Linked DNA regions of Schizosaccharomyces pombe. The gene in region 1 interacts genetically with each later gene. Each region holds a gene or a part of one and is shown on either strand. Other genes may lie near its edges.

Evidence for each region.
Region 2: mutations in SPOM_SPAC23G3.05C (region 1) and nrm1 together harm fitness less than expected from each alone (positive genetic interaction), as found in Schizosaccharomyces pombe (one large-scale study listed by BioGRID).

What each region holds. Positions count from the first base shown.
Region 1 is NC_003424.3:873,660-883,254, reverse strand, and holds SPOM_SPAC23G3.05C (RGS domain-containing family protein), read left to right. Parts: upstream 1-7,565; 5' UTR 7,566-7,691; coding exon 7,692-8,723; 3' UTR 8,724-9,095; downstream 9,096-9,595. Other genes in the region: ubiquitin hydrolase Ubp7, read left to right, coding at 1-2,232; SWI/SNF complex subunit Snf30, read left to right, coding at 3,066-3,268, 3,420-4,041; U3 snoRNP protein Nop58, read right to left, coding at 4,673-6,080, 6,149-6,251, 6,293-6,308; Ino80 complex subunit Ies4, read right to left, coding at 9,504-9,595. UniProt on the Schizosaccharomyces pombe protein: May be involved in cell polarization and division.
Region 2 is NC_003423.3:4,282,057-4,289,083, forward strand, and holds nrm1 (protein nrm1), read left to right. Parts: upstream 1-3,887; 5' UTR 3,888-3,985; coding exon 3,986-5,014; 3' UTR 5,015-5,304; coding exon of another isoform or gene 5,305-6,172; 3' UTR 6,173-6,230; coding exon of another isoform or gene 6,231-6,320; 3' UTR 6,321-6,362; coding exon of another isoform or gene 6,363-6,377; 3' UTR 6,378-6,418; downstream 6,419-7,027. Other genes in the region: Hrd1 ubiquitin ligase complex subunit Ufd1, read left to right, coding at 98-100, 148-316, 497-529, 586-707, 756-1,457; oga1 (protein stm1), read left to right, coding at 1,882-1,899, 2,168-2,541, 2,604-3,066; tad1 (tRNA specific adenosine deaminase), read right to left, coding at 5,305-6,172, 6,231-6,320, 6,363-6,377, 6,419-6,612; nucleoporin Rae1, read left to right, coding at 6,889-6,960, 7,011-7,027. UniProt on the Schizosaccharomyces pombe protein: Negative regulatory component of the MBF complex involved in cell-cycle-dependent transcription.

The DNA.
Region 1 (9,595 bases):
ATTATAACCTTGAAATGTCACTGTTACAGTTGTGATGCAGATATAGTTATTTTTGATAAAAAGAATTTAGTTGTGCGGGACGTTCAACAATTTATTTGCTCTAACTTGGTTTCATCGTTAACTAAGGCCCCCAACGTTTTAAAATCCAATTCGTCACACTTTAAAAAGGAAAAAAAGAGTAAGCATTCTTCTGGCAAAAGCTCGAAGAAATATAAAGTTATCAGTCCTGGTTTAAAAAATTTGGGTGCCACATGCTTTTTTAATTCGACTTTACAAGTCCTATGTGCTTGTGAGGCTTTACACGATGTGATTAGCCCGTTCCAATATTCCCACTCCTCAGTTATAGTGCGAAAGTTAACGAAATCTCCTGAATCTTCTCTTTTATCTGCATTCATTAAATTTTTGGAGACCTTTTATAAATCAGATGGCACTATCTCCGTATATCGTCCTACCACTTTTTTCGGAGAATTTCGAAGACTACATCCCCAGTTTTCCGAAAGCGTCCAGCAGGATGCTCACGAGCTTTTAAGGCTGTTATTGGACGATCTCATTTCTGAAGAATTTCGTGTACTGAGATTTAACCTTAATAGTGTATCACGTTCTCTTCAACTTAGTCCATGTTTGACAGATGATGAACAGCTTTCTAAATCGTTAACTTCGTTTAAACAAGTGAATGTTACAGATGCTTCTTTGTCGCCAAATTCACACAATACAAGTGATAACGAGCAGAACAACGAAGATTATGTTAGCGTTTCTTCATTAGTGGGTTCTGAGACCGAAGATATTACTTATTCGAAGGAGTTGTCGCAATCATCTGACTCTTCACAGCATCAGCATGACAGTTTCTTGCCTGCTAATTCATCGCCATTAGCGGCCTCGTCTACAAAATCCCTTCCATCGTCAGAACTTCTCGATTCCAGTTCAGACAAGGGACAACAAGTTTTTAAGGGTCAACATGAGGTCGCTGGTACCAATTCTTTTGAAGATCCTAATTCTCATTTCAATGTATCTAATAGTTCTAATCATGAGGAGGCTAGTCCTAAAAAAGAAGTTTTAAAATCTCCTCAATTTCAAAGGCGTTCACTAGACATACTACGGCTTGGTGAACTTTCTTCAGATGATATGATGCTTGATAAAGCTACTATGGATGAATTTTCTTCAAGCCTGGTGATCAAGTCAATTTTTACAGGCCGTTTAACGAGCGTTGTGATGTGCCAAAGTTGTAATGAAATTACTAACACTCCTGAACCTATTCAAGATTTATCCATACCTATTCATTACCCGTCTAGCCGCGTAAGTCGTCGTCATCGATTCCATCGTGCTCTCCGTTCACGATTTAGTCGTTCACCAAAAAAATCGTCTGTAAAGATAGTTGTTGACAATGCTAACGACGACACTGATCAAGCCCCGACTACTAATTCCTCTTCGTTAAATGAAAATTTACTTGGTGGGCATGCTAGTGAAAATGACAAGAGTTTGAAACAGTCTCCATTTCAAAAACTGACTCGAAGATTAAGTGATCTCTCTGTCAATTCTAGCGGGCAAATTTCGAAACAAGATTTTGATAATAGTAATTCAATTTTCTCAGAATCTTCACTATCAAGCCCAATAATAGAGGAGCCTAAGACACTTATTGATTGTCTCAAAAACTTTACTCATGTTGAGGAGTTAAGTGGTGAAAACATGTTTGCCTGCGAGAATTGCTGTAATCAACCTAACGAAGTTGGCTCTCCAGCTAAGGGAGGATTGACGTCGGATAACGATAAATATTCGTTTAATAACAGTGTTTATAGAAATGCTTACAAGCGGATGTTATTAGATGACCCTTTACCTCCTGTTTTTATTATCCATTTGAAGCGTTTTTTCCAGGAGATTTCCCACGATGGTTACGCCAATCCCAAAAAAATTTCCGATTTCATTGAGTTTGAACAAGAATTAGATTTAAACGAGTTCGTTATGCCACACCTACGTGCTTCAAGTAGTTTTAGATATCGACTTTTCGGGGTCATTGTGCACAGTGGCACCCTGAATTATGGTCATTATGTTGCTTACGTATTGTCTCATAAATTCTTAGACCTCAGTGCCCCTTCTACGAATTCTAAGGATTTCCGTTCTGAAGCTGGCATACCCGAGAGACGATGGCTTTACATTAGTGACAATATTGTACGCGAATCATCCTGGGACGAGGTTTCAAAAGTCGAAGCGTATATGCTATTCTATGAACGTGTTTAGACTTCTATTGCTTTAAATCCTCATTTTAGCTTAACAATATTTTTCAATACCCCTGGTTTTTATCTTTAAAATGCAAAGTATTCATTTTGAAATTTACGATTGGCCCAAAATGACTTATTCAACTCAATCTATCTTCACCTTAATCGAATTTCAAAATTACTTTGTCATTTCACCTCATAACTAGATACTGAATTTTGGACGAAACCATAATTATTCAAACACATTCTTTTGATGTACCTCAATTAAAAAAATACCATTTTACTTAATTAAGCAAATGGGATAATTTATTTTACGTTATCAATAGTCTATATAATTGCAAATTTATAGAAAAATCTAAATTTACTTATTTTTTATACGCTAATAGTGTTGTTATTGAATTGTATAAATATTATCTCTGTTAATGAAGCGTGCAAATCAGCTTTAGTCTCTAAATAATTATTATTTATTTATTCTATTGCATATATTTGAAAAGTTATCAACAATCTTATTCAGTCGAATTTGAATGTTCCGTAAAATAAGAAATTTATTTGCCCGAGGTTAGAGGTGCTTAAACTATACACCTGACTTGTCATTATTGGAATATAGTCGCTATTGAATTGTTATAGTGTTGTTACATTCACGTTTATTACCATATAGCATTTAAAGGTTGTTTTATACTTTTTAACGACAGTATTCATCAGAGACTCTAAAATTCGCATTTGTAAAAAAATATATATATATATTACCATTACTCCTAGTTAATGGGTTTTAAACACAAGAAGTTACAACAAATTTTTTAAAAAAACTGGTTATTTAAGTTATATCTCCTTTTTAAGTTAACTACGTTTGTAATAATGAGCTTTGTTTCGAAAAGTCCACCGATAGTAAACTCCGCGAGCCCAACCGGACAGGTTAATCCAATGGAAGTTGAAAAGGCGAACAAATTATTAGAAATTAATCGTTTGATTTTATGGAAATGCTTAGAACTTCAGCATATTAAGACGGCGCAAAATTCGACATTGGAGCAACGGGCTTTATCTACTGAACTTTTCAACAGGTAAGTGATTGAAATGTTTTGCTTACGTGCACACTTAGCTGCGGAAGGATATTCATTGTGTGTATCCATTTTCGGCTCCTCAAATTGCGCTTCGCACTGTCTCTCTTTTATTACATTATATTTTTTTCGTTGTTACTAATTCATTTACTAGTTATATACAACGTCTCAAAGCTAATCTAGCTTTTGTAGTATCAATTGCTTCACCCCGTCAAATGCAAGTTTTAACTCCGCCACTTTCGTGTCCTGAAAGTCTACCTCAACTCGAGCCGTTATACAAAGAACTCCGGCAATATTTTCAAATCGCTCAGACATCTACACTATCGTATCCTCCTTCAAATGGGGATTCGTCTTCGTATGCAAATGGCACAGACTTACATGGAAATACAGGGACTATGCAGCAAGAAGAGAAAGCCAATCCATCATTAACTCGTTCAGATTCTGTTTCCTCGGGCTCTTATATTACAATGCAGGGAGCCAATAGTCTGAAGGCCCAACAAGACTTATTGAACTCGTTTACTGGTGCTCCTTCAAACAATTCTCATAACATACCCGATCCTAATCTATCTCAAACATTTTCAGCAACTTCTATGGGACCTCCCAACAATAACTACTCAAAGTTCCGAACGGATAACTACTTAGCGAGGTCCTCAAATCGCTCGGGAACGCCCAACATTCAAAATGAGCAATCTCGTTTTTTTGATTCACAACAAGCTCAAGTTCAGGCTCGAGCATTGATGCAAAGATATCAACAGGGGATGGAATTTAACAAATAGTGGTGTTTTTGAAGTTTATGATATAGAAAAGCTATGTCCTGTAATTTTATGTTTTAATTGATCATTTATCTAAACGTAAGACTTGCAATGTAGCGGACGCCTTACATGTAATTTTTATGCAACTAGTAAATTTTGACCACTAAGATCTAAATTTGTTTAGGAAATTAGGAATGGGTAGCACAACATTACTAAAATTTCAATTGCGAAAACCAAATCAATAAATTTATCTAAAACGACGATATGTTTACAATTTTACTATAGCACAAGCAAATGAATGCCATACAAAAATTTTTGGCGGAAATTACAACAGATGTGTAAAGCAATTTTAAAGTGGTGTCGCTTAATTACCTTTTGAATCTAAAACGCTATTGAAACTTGAATTTTTTGATGCCATAATTTAACTAAATTGACCAAGTTTAGAGATTAAAAAGCCAATAATGATAACTCTGAAAGTTTCCAGTATAATATAAAACAAAAATGGATAACGAGAACCTAAATAATCTTTGAACTTGAGTCGTTATCCTCTAAACAAGCTCAACCTTTTTTAAAAAAAGAAAGCATTATTGTATAACAATAAGTGAATTGATAATTCCTTTTTAAAACATTAATGGAATTTGCTCTAACGACCTACTCAATCCTTTGACTTTTTGGACTTTTTCTTCTTCTTTGGAGATTCTCCATCTTCGGATTCCTCAGATTTTCTCTTACTCTTCTTGTGCTTCTTATCCTTCTTTTCTTTCTTCTCCTTCTTGCTTGATTCTCCGTCTGCTTCTTTGAGCTTTGAAGATTTCTTTTTCTTCTTCTCGATTACAATGTCCATCTCTACATCCTCTTGAGATTCTTCAGCATCTTTTGTAACAGCATCGGTAGCCGTACTGTAAGCAGAGGTACCATTAATTTGAACTTTAGATTGTTGGACAGGAGCTGTAGGCAATGGTAATAATTTTCCACCCTCCAAAGAACGTAAACGGTTTTCAACACGAATCCGATTTTCCAAACCAATATTACCATTAGTAGTATCCTTGTCTGATAATGCATCAACACGTAAAGATAAAGCAGCTTTCGTAGCCAACACTCGAGCAATTTTACCCTTATTTTTAGAATTCGCTTGACCAACCAAACTTGCATGATAAATAAGACCATATTTAGGTGTACTATGCTTTGTCTTCAAAGCACGGAATAAAGCCTTCTCAGCTCCCAAAATTTGTATTGTAGAAGCCGGTTGCTTGGCCAAATTCATCAGAGAACCAGCATGAGCAATAAGACGAGCACCAACCAACTCACCTACCAGAGCAGTCAAGTTGGGGGCAATAGCCTGCATACGGTTCCGAAGATATTCAGATAATTGGGCACGATAAGAAGCAAGCTCAAGGACTTGATCTGCAAGCATAACAATGTTGTCTAAATCTTCTTCCGTAATCTCTGTACCCATAGAAATTTCAGCAGCACTCTTTAAAGTTGCCTCAATTTCTTCCGGAAGAATATCACTAAAATCGGTCTCACTACATTTGGTACGCATACCCATGGCTTTAATAACACGAGCATAAGCTAGGTTATCTTGAATAATCTTGCCCATCTCAGGGAAATGCCAACCATACCACTCACGAACACGCATAGCATAGGTATTGAGTTCCTTATCGAGATCGTCGAGTAATGCAATAGCTTGAACAATCATCGTATCAACTTTATCCGGAGAAAACTTAAGTTTATGACGAGATAGAGAATGAGATAAACCCAAAGACATAGCATTGAGATCAGAAGGAGCCAATCCGGAAATGAGAGAAGACAAATGCTCTCTTATACCGCGGTACAAGTCTTGAACGGAAGAGTCAGAAATTATTTCAAATTCCAACCCTGGTAATTTGTTGATAGCATTGCCGAGTTTAGGGTCAGCCACAACCAGCGTGGAGCTCTTTGAGTCAGATAACCCTTCTAGGAGAGAGGATAATTTGGAAGAAACCTTGCCCTCAACAAGAGCAGAAACATTGTCGAGAGCATCGACAGTACTTTCAAACTTGGCGAATGATTGTAGTTTTAAGCTAAATTCAGTGTTAGCAAGTTAATTCTCATCATACATTTAATCAATTGTTGCATGCAACAAACATACAGATTTGAAGCTCCCTCAGGAGATTTTAAATCCTCAATAAGGGCATCACGTTTCTTCAACAACTTATCCTTTGCTTTAAAAATGGCATAACCCGCCGCAGTCTCTATTATGTTGTTAGATATATAAAAAAAATTCCTCACATACCAGTAAGAATAAACATCTCTGCGACTTTTTACAAACCAAAACGGATTGGAAGTTTTGGTGAAGTTGGAGAAGCGCAGAAATTTTAAATGACTGAAACACAGCATACTCCAAACTTACACTCGCTATTATAATTACCGTAGCTGTCCTTTAATGATGTGTGCTGCGTTGTCCTTAAGTTTACTAACGATATTTTCAAATCAACGAAGTTTACTCAAGGTCGTTATATGACCTTTACATCGTACAAGCTCCGTTAATTGTGTTAATAAGGGAAATAAAACTAATGAAACTTTAAGGGCGTAACACTAAGTATAGCTAGCAAACGAGCTGTAAGCTATAGAAAGCTGAGGTCTACTCGAGTTAAATATTTAATAGAAAACTGGACTAGTAATATTATTTCGAATTTACGGTTATTGATTATCACGATCAAGTGGAAGGTAAAAAACGAAATACAACGTAGCGTATGTAACAGAAATAATTTACTATTATTGTTAGTTTCCATTACACTACTTTATTTCAACAAAAAAGTAAACATGAATTCAAATCGCTTCAATTAAATAATACAAAAATGGGTTGGTTCTGATTTGACAACAAAAGTATGAAAAGCGCTTGTTAATTTTCATAGATAAAAAAATTACCTGAAAATGAAAAAATTAAGCCAACAATAATTGGAATTGATGCCATGAATATAAGAATTAAAGTAAACAATCTAAATCTAAACCCACTTTATTGTTCAATATCAATCAGTAACCTTTGAAAACAATAAATAATACACAGCCATGAGGAAATATGTTTGATTTTTTACGTCCATTTTAACAGAAATACATAAGTTTAATATACCATCAAAAATAATATGAAAATCCCATTGCTTTAATGAATAGTTCATTAAATTATTTCAGAACCTTTTTTCCTAATCAGAAGATTTTATTTGATTTTCATTCTACAAAGTTTCGAAATTTACATATTAACTTTACATTAGTTATCGCTGAGTGTATTGGCTTTTGGAACACAATCAATCCTGCTTAGTATTCTTTATCTAATTAAATGCAAATATGGTGACATTTGAACTGAGGCTCAATGCTTGTCAAAAAAAATATTTGTAGAAAAGGTGTATCTGTTTATCGAGGATAAGGTATCAAGTAAAGCTTACTAGTTTATCTATAATTCTATAAAATTTATTATTAATTTTTTACAGTAATATGGTATGCTCTATTGCATTCCACAAATCACCTTTATTTAGTAAAGTGTAGAATGTTAATTTAGTAACTTCAGATGTTACCACCACTTTGTGTCATCTGACATTTGAAACTAAAGCGGAACCAATCCGCTGTATTTTTTTTGATACACATTAAAATCGGATTAATTTAGGAACTCTAGTACTTGTCTTGAGGTGGTTGTCTGAATGGCTTCCGCCCCGAGAGTTTCAGAAGTTTTAACCAAAAAAAATCTTCCACCGTTGAGTTTATACAACTTTTACATTTATATACGTGATGAAGAAAATGCAATAGAATTTTTAGATTTGTTTCTTGATATTATGCTTCACAAATTTCTCTTTCGAGAGCATATAAGAGGTCTATACAAAGCTGGTGTTACTAGCACTTCTTTGAATACAGAAAGCAGTTCCACACTTGGTCCTCACCACTTTACGCGGTTTAGGTCAGCAAGCCTTTCTCTTGAAGATTTGAGTACAGTGTACTGGCCAAATTTTGGTCCTCTTCTTCTTGAAGAATTATCCAATGAACAAACTATCAACTCCTCAGACTTACTACTCTCTAAAGATAGAGCTGCTTATTTAAAAAACCTTTTGACATCAAATATTCAAAGTTTAACGCAGGAATCAACGGTTATCAGTAAAGAGCAAGTTAAAATGTTTACTCAAATTATTATCGAAAAATATTTCAATCCAGCATCTCCACATGAAGTTATGCTACCACCACAGCTCGTTCAACCTATTTTAGATTGCAAGGAACATCAAAGACAAGACGAGTTGCGTCTGTTTGAAGACGTCGAAACTTATCTTCTCAATTTCCTTCTCAAACCCGCCTACTATCGCTTTCTCAACCACAAATTTAAGCACAACCTCAATCCTTTAACTTGCACAGGGAGATTTATTATTGGTTATGTGTCTACCTTTGCTGCCTACTGGCTAGGTTTTTGCGGTATTTTCCTAGACTACTCAAGGAGAAAGCGGGTATGGACACTTCTTCCATTTGCTTTTGGTTTTTATAACCTTATATGTACGTGGTCTAAACATGATCCTGTTCTTGCCTTATTGGGATACTCAGAAGTTAAACCGTTTCATTATGAGAAAGTTTTGCAACCCTCCATTCGCTTAAGTTTAAACAGACGTGCAATATTCGTGCTTTCGATAATTGTTTTAATAGTGGGTGCAAACACAGCAATATTTAGCTGTGTTCCTTCTATTCGTCTATAACCTGTCGATTTCGTTCCATTCCACTCCTTTTTGCATTTTTTTTATCATTCTTTTGTTTTTTTGAAGTTGTGGATCCTCTTTTTGTTTAGTCATTTCTTTTAAAAATCAAATTATTCAATATTTAATTTGCATGTTGCATTTCCGATATTCTTCTTTTTACGATTCAATCTTTCGGTCCTATCTTTTAAAATATAAAAGGCACTCAAAATTATCTGATTTCCTATCGATTCAATCATTCTATACTGTTTTGAATTTTACAAAGCTAATTCCTAGTTACAATAAATTAGACATTAACGTTGTTACATTTTTTTTCTATTTATTTAATCAAACTTAAATAGTTCAACCTGTTCTCACAACCATTTCTCTTGTTGTAGCATTGTTAAACTGTTTTTAATATAATTGCTCTAATATAAGATCAACCATAGGTAAAAGAAAAAAAATAAGGATTGAATAGTTAAACAGCACTGATTCACCATTGTTTCTTTCAATAAAACACTTATTTGCATATACTGAAGTTACGGTTTGTAAAGAGGATTGCCAATAGAAGGATTTAAATTTTAGAAGCTGAAGTAGATCTATAAGGGGAAAGAAAACCGCATTAATAGCAAGTCTTATCCAAGGAAAGTATTAAACTCGAGATAAAGGAAATAAAGGAGAATAAATTAGGGTACTGCTCTGTTTGTACATACAAGCTCCGTATTAATGTTCTCTAAATGTTCGGTCCAGCCGGAGAAACGTGAGCCTTGATTTCTTATATAATAACGTAAAGGTACAAAGAATTTAAATACCAGTTGCAGATTCAGGCATTGAGTCAACAGGTGAAGTAGCATCCATAGGACTAGACTCTGCATGTGTTGACAGTGCAGCAGCAA
Region 2 (7,027 bases), on another chromosome or scaffold:
TCAAGTGTATTTTGCTTGCACTACAACATTTACGTTGCATTATAAAAAATTGGGAGAACCATAGTTACTCTTTCCTTTTTTCGCAAAAAAAGCAAATATGGTATGGTTTTTTTAGAGAATGCGTACGTTGACTTACTCACGTATTAGTTTGGCGGCAGCTTTTTCTCAAGCGACGATGATGGTTTCTCCATGATGTCTCAACTTCGGTCAGCTTTTCATAATAATGTAAATCAGCGATTTGATACTCGTTACCGCTGTTATCCTGTTGCCATGATTCCTGGTGAGGAACGGCCAAATGTCAATTATGGTGGGAAAGGTAAGGTTTGAAAATACTTTTAAGTTTTCACATTGTTGGAGATTTGATTTTATATACTCATGAAGTTCATGTGATTTTATCTTTGAGCGCTTGCTTGCGCATTTGCTTATGGTTAACATTCTCTGCTCAATATTTTTTATATTGTTATTGGGGATTATTAGTATTAACAACTACGTCTAGTAATATTACCACCTTCAGCTTTAGAAAAACTATGTACGTAATGCGAAGAGAATTTATTAAGCCTTTTAAATCTGTTAATTAACTATTAGCACGCCTGAATGTCAGTTATCCCATGCTTTTTGACTTTGAAAACGAAGCTGCAGAGAAAAAAACTCATGGGGGTGTGTTAGAATTTATTGCGGAAGAGGGACGTGTCTACCTGCCTTATTGGGTATGAAAAAATTTAAAGACTGTCAGAAATGTACTAACTAGGGCACAGATGATGACTACACTTAGCCTTGAGCCTGGAGATTTGGTTCGAGTTATAAATACTGATATAGCACAGGGCAGCTATGTCAAATTACAGCCTCAAAGCGTGAATTTTCTTGATATCACGGACCACAGAGCGGTATTGGAAAATGCGCTTAGGAATTTCAGTACGCTTACAAAATCTGATATATTTGAGATTTTGTATAACGACCAGGTATATCAAATAAAAGTTATAGATGTTCAACCTGATGACTCCCGCCATGTTGTCTCAGTGGTAGAAACCGATTTGGTAGTTGATTTTGATCCCCCCATCGGTTATGAAGAAAGTTTGCAAAAAAACAAGCAGCAAAATATTGCTGGCGTTCAAGGAACGATGGTTACCAAGATTGGTTACGATGAGCTGGTGAGGCAGGGCGATTCGAATTTGATGAAGGGAACAGGGACTAAACTAAATGGTAAAGAAGTTGCTGAAGTGCCTAAAATAAATTTGCTCGATGTTGAGAAACAAGAATGTCCTGCTCCGTTGATCCTACCATTGGGTACATACTTCTTTGGGTATCCTTATAAAGCACCCTCTATTGAAGAAGATTCTAAGAAAGACCCCAATTTATTTAAGTTTGAAGGTGCCGGTACATCTCTACGTGCCTCTCGCAAAACAAATGGAACAATGGGAAAAGGTTCCTCTGATGACCCAATCGATATTGATGCTTAATGTTAATCGTCTCAAGTTATTACTTGGTTGGATTTAGTTTATAACGATTTTAGTACCAGTCTTTTTACATTGAATGAATTAATTTATTATTTGTTTCAAAATATAATGTAATTAATTCTTACTTAGACTGCCTAGCTTTTTTTTACCAGTAGTATATTTCTTAATAAAACTTATTTTAATGCTAAAGAAATGAATGATTCGATAAAACGAATATTGACAATTGTAAGCCAAGTGCTTCCGATATCATAGAAAAAAGACAGGCATTGTGTTGAATAACTGTAATTTTAAGATAGCCTTAGGTATTACCGTAAGATGATGGACAAAGCACATCATTTGTTTCAACCTACCCTAAGTTTGAGTGACTGCTTTTTGGATGACTGTAGTTGTGTAACTGAACACACACAATTAACTTTCCAGCTTCCAAATGTCTGTTGCATCCAAGGTATGATTTAAACATTTTATCATTAAACGATTATTTTAAGGGTTAGGAAATGAACGAACTGGTAATTATTTGTAGCATGTTTTAGGGCTGTGTTTAAGGTTTCATTACTGCGACCCGAATGAAATACTTTATAGAAGTATAGCCTGTATAAAGACGCTCAAGTATTAAAAAATATAAATTCACATTTCGTTCATTATTCTTTAGAGTGTTAGCTCTGCAGACTCTGCTGATTTTTATTTTGTTTTCGCAAGTAGTAACCAAATTATAGAACCTCTTTGACCTCCTCGGAGAGGAGACTCCCGCAGCTACTACTACCGAGAAGAAAACCGCTGCTTCTCGTGACAAAAAGCGCTCCGACAGCCCTCCTGTCCCCCGCGAATTAGTCGCTCAAAGCACCACCTCTAGGAAGCGTGACCCTAACCAACCCACTCCTCGTGAGCGTACCGTTAATAAGAAGGCAGACCAACCTCGCAGACGCCGTCAAGCTCCTCAAGGAAACGAAGCCTTTGCTCGTGAAGGCAAAGAAGCTCGTGCTAACAACGCTGCCCATCCTGTGGATGCCACTGGCGCCCCCTCCAACCGCCGCAATGCTCGTGCTCGCCGTGGTCGTGAATTTGACCGCCATAGCCAAACTGGTAGAGTGTATGTGTTTTATTTTTCTACATGTGAATGCCAAATTATATAATTGCTAACCATTATTTTAGTGATACCAAGAAGGCTACTGAACGTGGCTGGGGTGATCTCGTAAACTCTGCTGCTAACCCTGATGTTGCAGAGAACGAAGGTAACACTCCCTCTGGAGCCCAAACTCCTGCTGCCGAGGAGGAAAATGTTAAGACTCTTGATGAATATCTGTCTGAACGCAAGTCCGCCGCAAAGCCTGTTGGTCGTACTGTTGAGAAACTTGAAAACGCTACTAAGGTCGAGAAGAGTGCCCCCGAAGAATTGTTTGCCTCTCTTAAGAAGAGCGCTTCTCAAAAGAAGTCTGCTGCCAAGGAAAGCAAGCCAAAGAAGGTTCTTCTTGATATCGAGCAAACTTTTACTGCTCGTCCTGCTCGCGGTGGCCGTCCTAACCGTGCTCCCCGTCGTGGTCCTTCAGAAACTGCCTCAAAAACCCAACAGGCACCTCCCACCCTTTCTGAGACTGACTTTCCCGCTCTTGCATAGATGAACTGGTGACTTGAGAGTAGCCTATTGATGTGGAGCGTTTGATTGGTCTTGGATGAAATTTCGTTGTCAAGCGTATGTGGAAAGGTGTGTGTTATCTTACAGATCCCTTTTTGTTTATTTTCCATTGAGCATCATTCGGGTTTCTAGGTTATTCAGTGATTCTTATCATTAAAGCGGTCTAAGGTGTATTCTGTGGTTGCATTCCCTTTTTTGATCCACATTTTGCGATGAATTGACTAAATATTTTTCAAAATGGTCGAATACTAGTGTGTAAAAAAAATTTCATTCTCGTATCTATTCACAACTAATATTAAGAAGATGCGCGTTTAAATCGTCTACCGACTGTTATCTTGATATAACGTATCTTATTTTTAATCTGTAAATATCAGCCTTAGTAATTGTGTACATAACAAAAGCATATTTCAGTGTACGGTAGGTCTGCCTGTGCAATTCACAAATACTCCATTTATTATTCCAATTGATTTTGTCATTTTCAAATGTCGTTTGCAGGGATATTGAAACGGACGTTGAATAAAGCCTTCTTAACCTTGTAAAATGACTATAGGAAAGTTATGAACGAGTTTGTGTATCGGTAACATAACAGGTAAATCACTCTTCATAATGCAAATTGCGGTTTACTTTTTATAGCATCATTTTTGATAGCTATTTAAAAAATTTGAAAGTTAATATAATTAATAAACTCGAGGATATGAGCAAACTGATAAAACGCGCTATATCGCGAATTCGCGCTTTAAAGGGCGTCGCGTCGCGTTGCGTTGGACACCGCTTATATACGTGCCACAAGTACGCAACAATCGACGAGTCGCAAAAAAACTGTCTCTGATTATTACTTTTCCTTCTGATTCTCTGCTACTAGGAATCTTTATATTGGTTTCCGTTTAGAAAAAATAACAAGATGGATAGGTCAATGGAACCATTGACCCCATCTCGTTTAAACACTTTGGGGGAAAGGCCAACAAACGAAGTGTATGAGTATGGAAAAGGAAAAAATGTGCAACATTTATTTCCTATAACACCGATGCAGAGACCATTAGGAAAAGAGAATGCGGCTCCAGGGACGATTTCACCGATTGCGGTTCGATCTCGAAATGTGCGTGCAGTAGAAATTGCAGATGAAAATGCATGTGAAGAGCCAGTCTTAAAAATAAAATCTGTTAGTAGTACGGAGAGTGAAGAGGAAAAAGAATCTTCTACTGAGATAGGAGAGAAACAGGAAAAAGAAACACATTTAGAACCCAAGACACCAGTACAAACCAATACCAACAATAATCACTTAGACGACATTCAGTGTTGTGCTAAAAACTTACGCTTACGTCTTGAATTGGCTATGTATAAAGTACAAGTTAATCAAACATTTTCCCCTCTGCAAGATCTTCCCATTGTCGCTAAAACGAAGCTTCACAATTGTCCAAACTCTGAACCTGTTACCTCCATATGGAACCAGAGATCGCTTTCTTCTGGAAAGCCTCCGTCCTTACATCTTTCAGGGAATCGCAGGCTTTCCATGGGATCTCCCACGAAGTCGATATATGATCAGAATGGTTTGACAACGCCAAGACCGATCGGTTCTGATGATCTAACACATATGTATGATCCTTATACCTCTCCTTTACGCACCCCTTCTCGTACGCTATCACGCTCCTCCTCTCATTATCTGTGGGTTCGTCATGGTAAATTGACACGTAGCGTATCTCTTTTACAACATAAAACGCCTAGACGCATTCGGCCAAAATCACTTTCTAAAAGCAATTCTACACCGTTAAAGCATTTAAGCGCTCAGAAACCAAATTCAAATTACTATACTGGCCCGCCTACTCCAGTATCCATATCCAACACTCCAGAAAACATTCATCCATCATCTTCCGAAGTAAGGCGTATTGCAAGTCACAGCAAGCAATTTTCAGACTATGGTTTAATTCGATGATCCTTCTTTTTACATTTTAAACCGAGTTATGGAATAATGTTATGAGATGATTTTTATAATACTTTAATTACTCTAGTTGTCGTTCATTTCCTTTCTGACAGATTTCTATATGTGAATTATTTTGAAATGCAAAAAATAACTTTTAATTCCTCGCAACACGTTCTTTTATTTCTTACTTGTTATGTAACAAGTCAGTCGTTAATAAAATTATTATCGCTGGTAAAGCCATCCTTCGTTTTATTTAATGCCTTAATTCATACGTACATCTTATATTGAGGTTTCTAGATTTCTTATATCCATTGAAATTCGTTCCCTCCGTTTGGGATCCAGTTTTTTAAGATATTACGAAGAATTTGCTTTTGCTGGCAACGTTTGATGTTGAGTTTCTTCCATTCATAATAGTTTTTTTCATTAGTCAACGATTGACTTAATTGATGCAGCAAATTCATCATACTCTTTCTACATATTAATGTTTGAGACTTTTCAACGTCTTTAGCTTTTGTTCCCGCTTTAATACCATTATGTATCACTTGAGTACACTGCATTTTATCACCGATCCATATCAAAACGTTTGTACTAGTTGCAGTTTTTTCTGCTTGGTTCAACGGCCGTGAATATAAAAAATTTTCATCCGTTTCCAGCACGGTAAAAGGATGAAAGTAATAAGGATTATCCTTTTCTCCAAATTCAGCAAGTGGTGCGCACCGACCAAAGGGTCCAAATGCTCTGTCAATTGCTGATTTAACTATCACTTTTTTATAAAGCACTACACATGATAAATAGATGGGCTCACAAATGAGGCTGGTCTGGGAATTCAAAATAGAAAGATATTGTTTTGCAGCTAATTTATCAGTACAGCTTTTGCTCCAGCTTACTGGGGCATCAGGTCTCCCCGGTTTAGTACGCACGATTCCAAGTAGTCCAAAATCCGCCCTCCCACGCATTAATTTCTCTGAATCAACTGTTAAGTTCCATGGTTTGTTGTTTTCCAAGCGGCTAGCTAGTAGCTCCATACTCGCATCTCCGCAAGGACATTCGGAAACGTACAGATGTATCAGAAGATTGCTGTTTAGAGTAAATTTACCATTATCAGCAACTTCAAGAAGCCACGTATCTTTCTTTGATTCTTTAATTAAAATACAATGTTCGAGAAGTAATCTTAATTCTTTTATTAGTAACGAATACTAACAAATATACAAATAATTGTATATATTACCTGTTAAAACATCTTAATGCCAGAATCTCAGCATGACAATCATGTAATACACTACCCAGTTGTTCATTCTTAATGATGCCAGCTGGCGTACTAAATTGACTTGTTAATGAAAAAAATCAATTGGTAGCATACCATTTTACACCTGTTCTTTAGATGTCAGTTTACCGATATTAATAAAAAAGACGTACGCTAGACAAACACAAATAAATTCGTTCTCCATCTTTTTCTGAATGACAACACCGGCTAAAGTAGTCCATTCACGCACCCCATTTGCTCTTATGATCGGTTTGCCATGACGGGCTAGTTCATCAAATTTGTTAAGGACTGCAAGAGCTATTAAATTCCCAACATTACTGTTTCTATCTAGGGTAAATTCTTCCATTTTCTAATGAATTTCATAAATCCATACTTTATATTCAATTGTATTAAGAAAAGAGTACTTCGGGAGCGTAAATCCTGTGATATGTTGTGACCGTAATTAAATACTAATATTTTGTTTCCAACTGTTAATTAATAACAATTGGGTATTCCTAATAGCAAAGCTTATTCGCTGTAAGTGATTGAAGTACAAATGTTGGCAAAAGCATTTGTGGTAGTGTGTTGAAGCAAGTAATTTTGTCTGCATACGAGTAATTTACCAACTACCACAACTATTAGAATGTCACTTTTTGGACAGGCTACAACATCTACAGTATCTAATGCAACCGGTGACTTAAAAAAGGATGTGGAGGTTTGTTAATTTTACATATACGCTACTTACATTTGCTAATTACACGATAGGTTGCCCAACCCCCGGA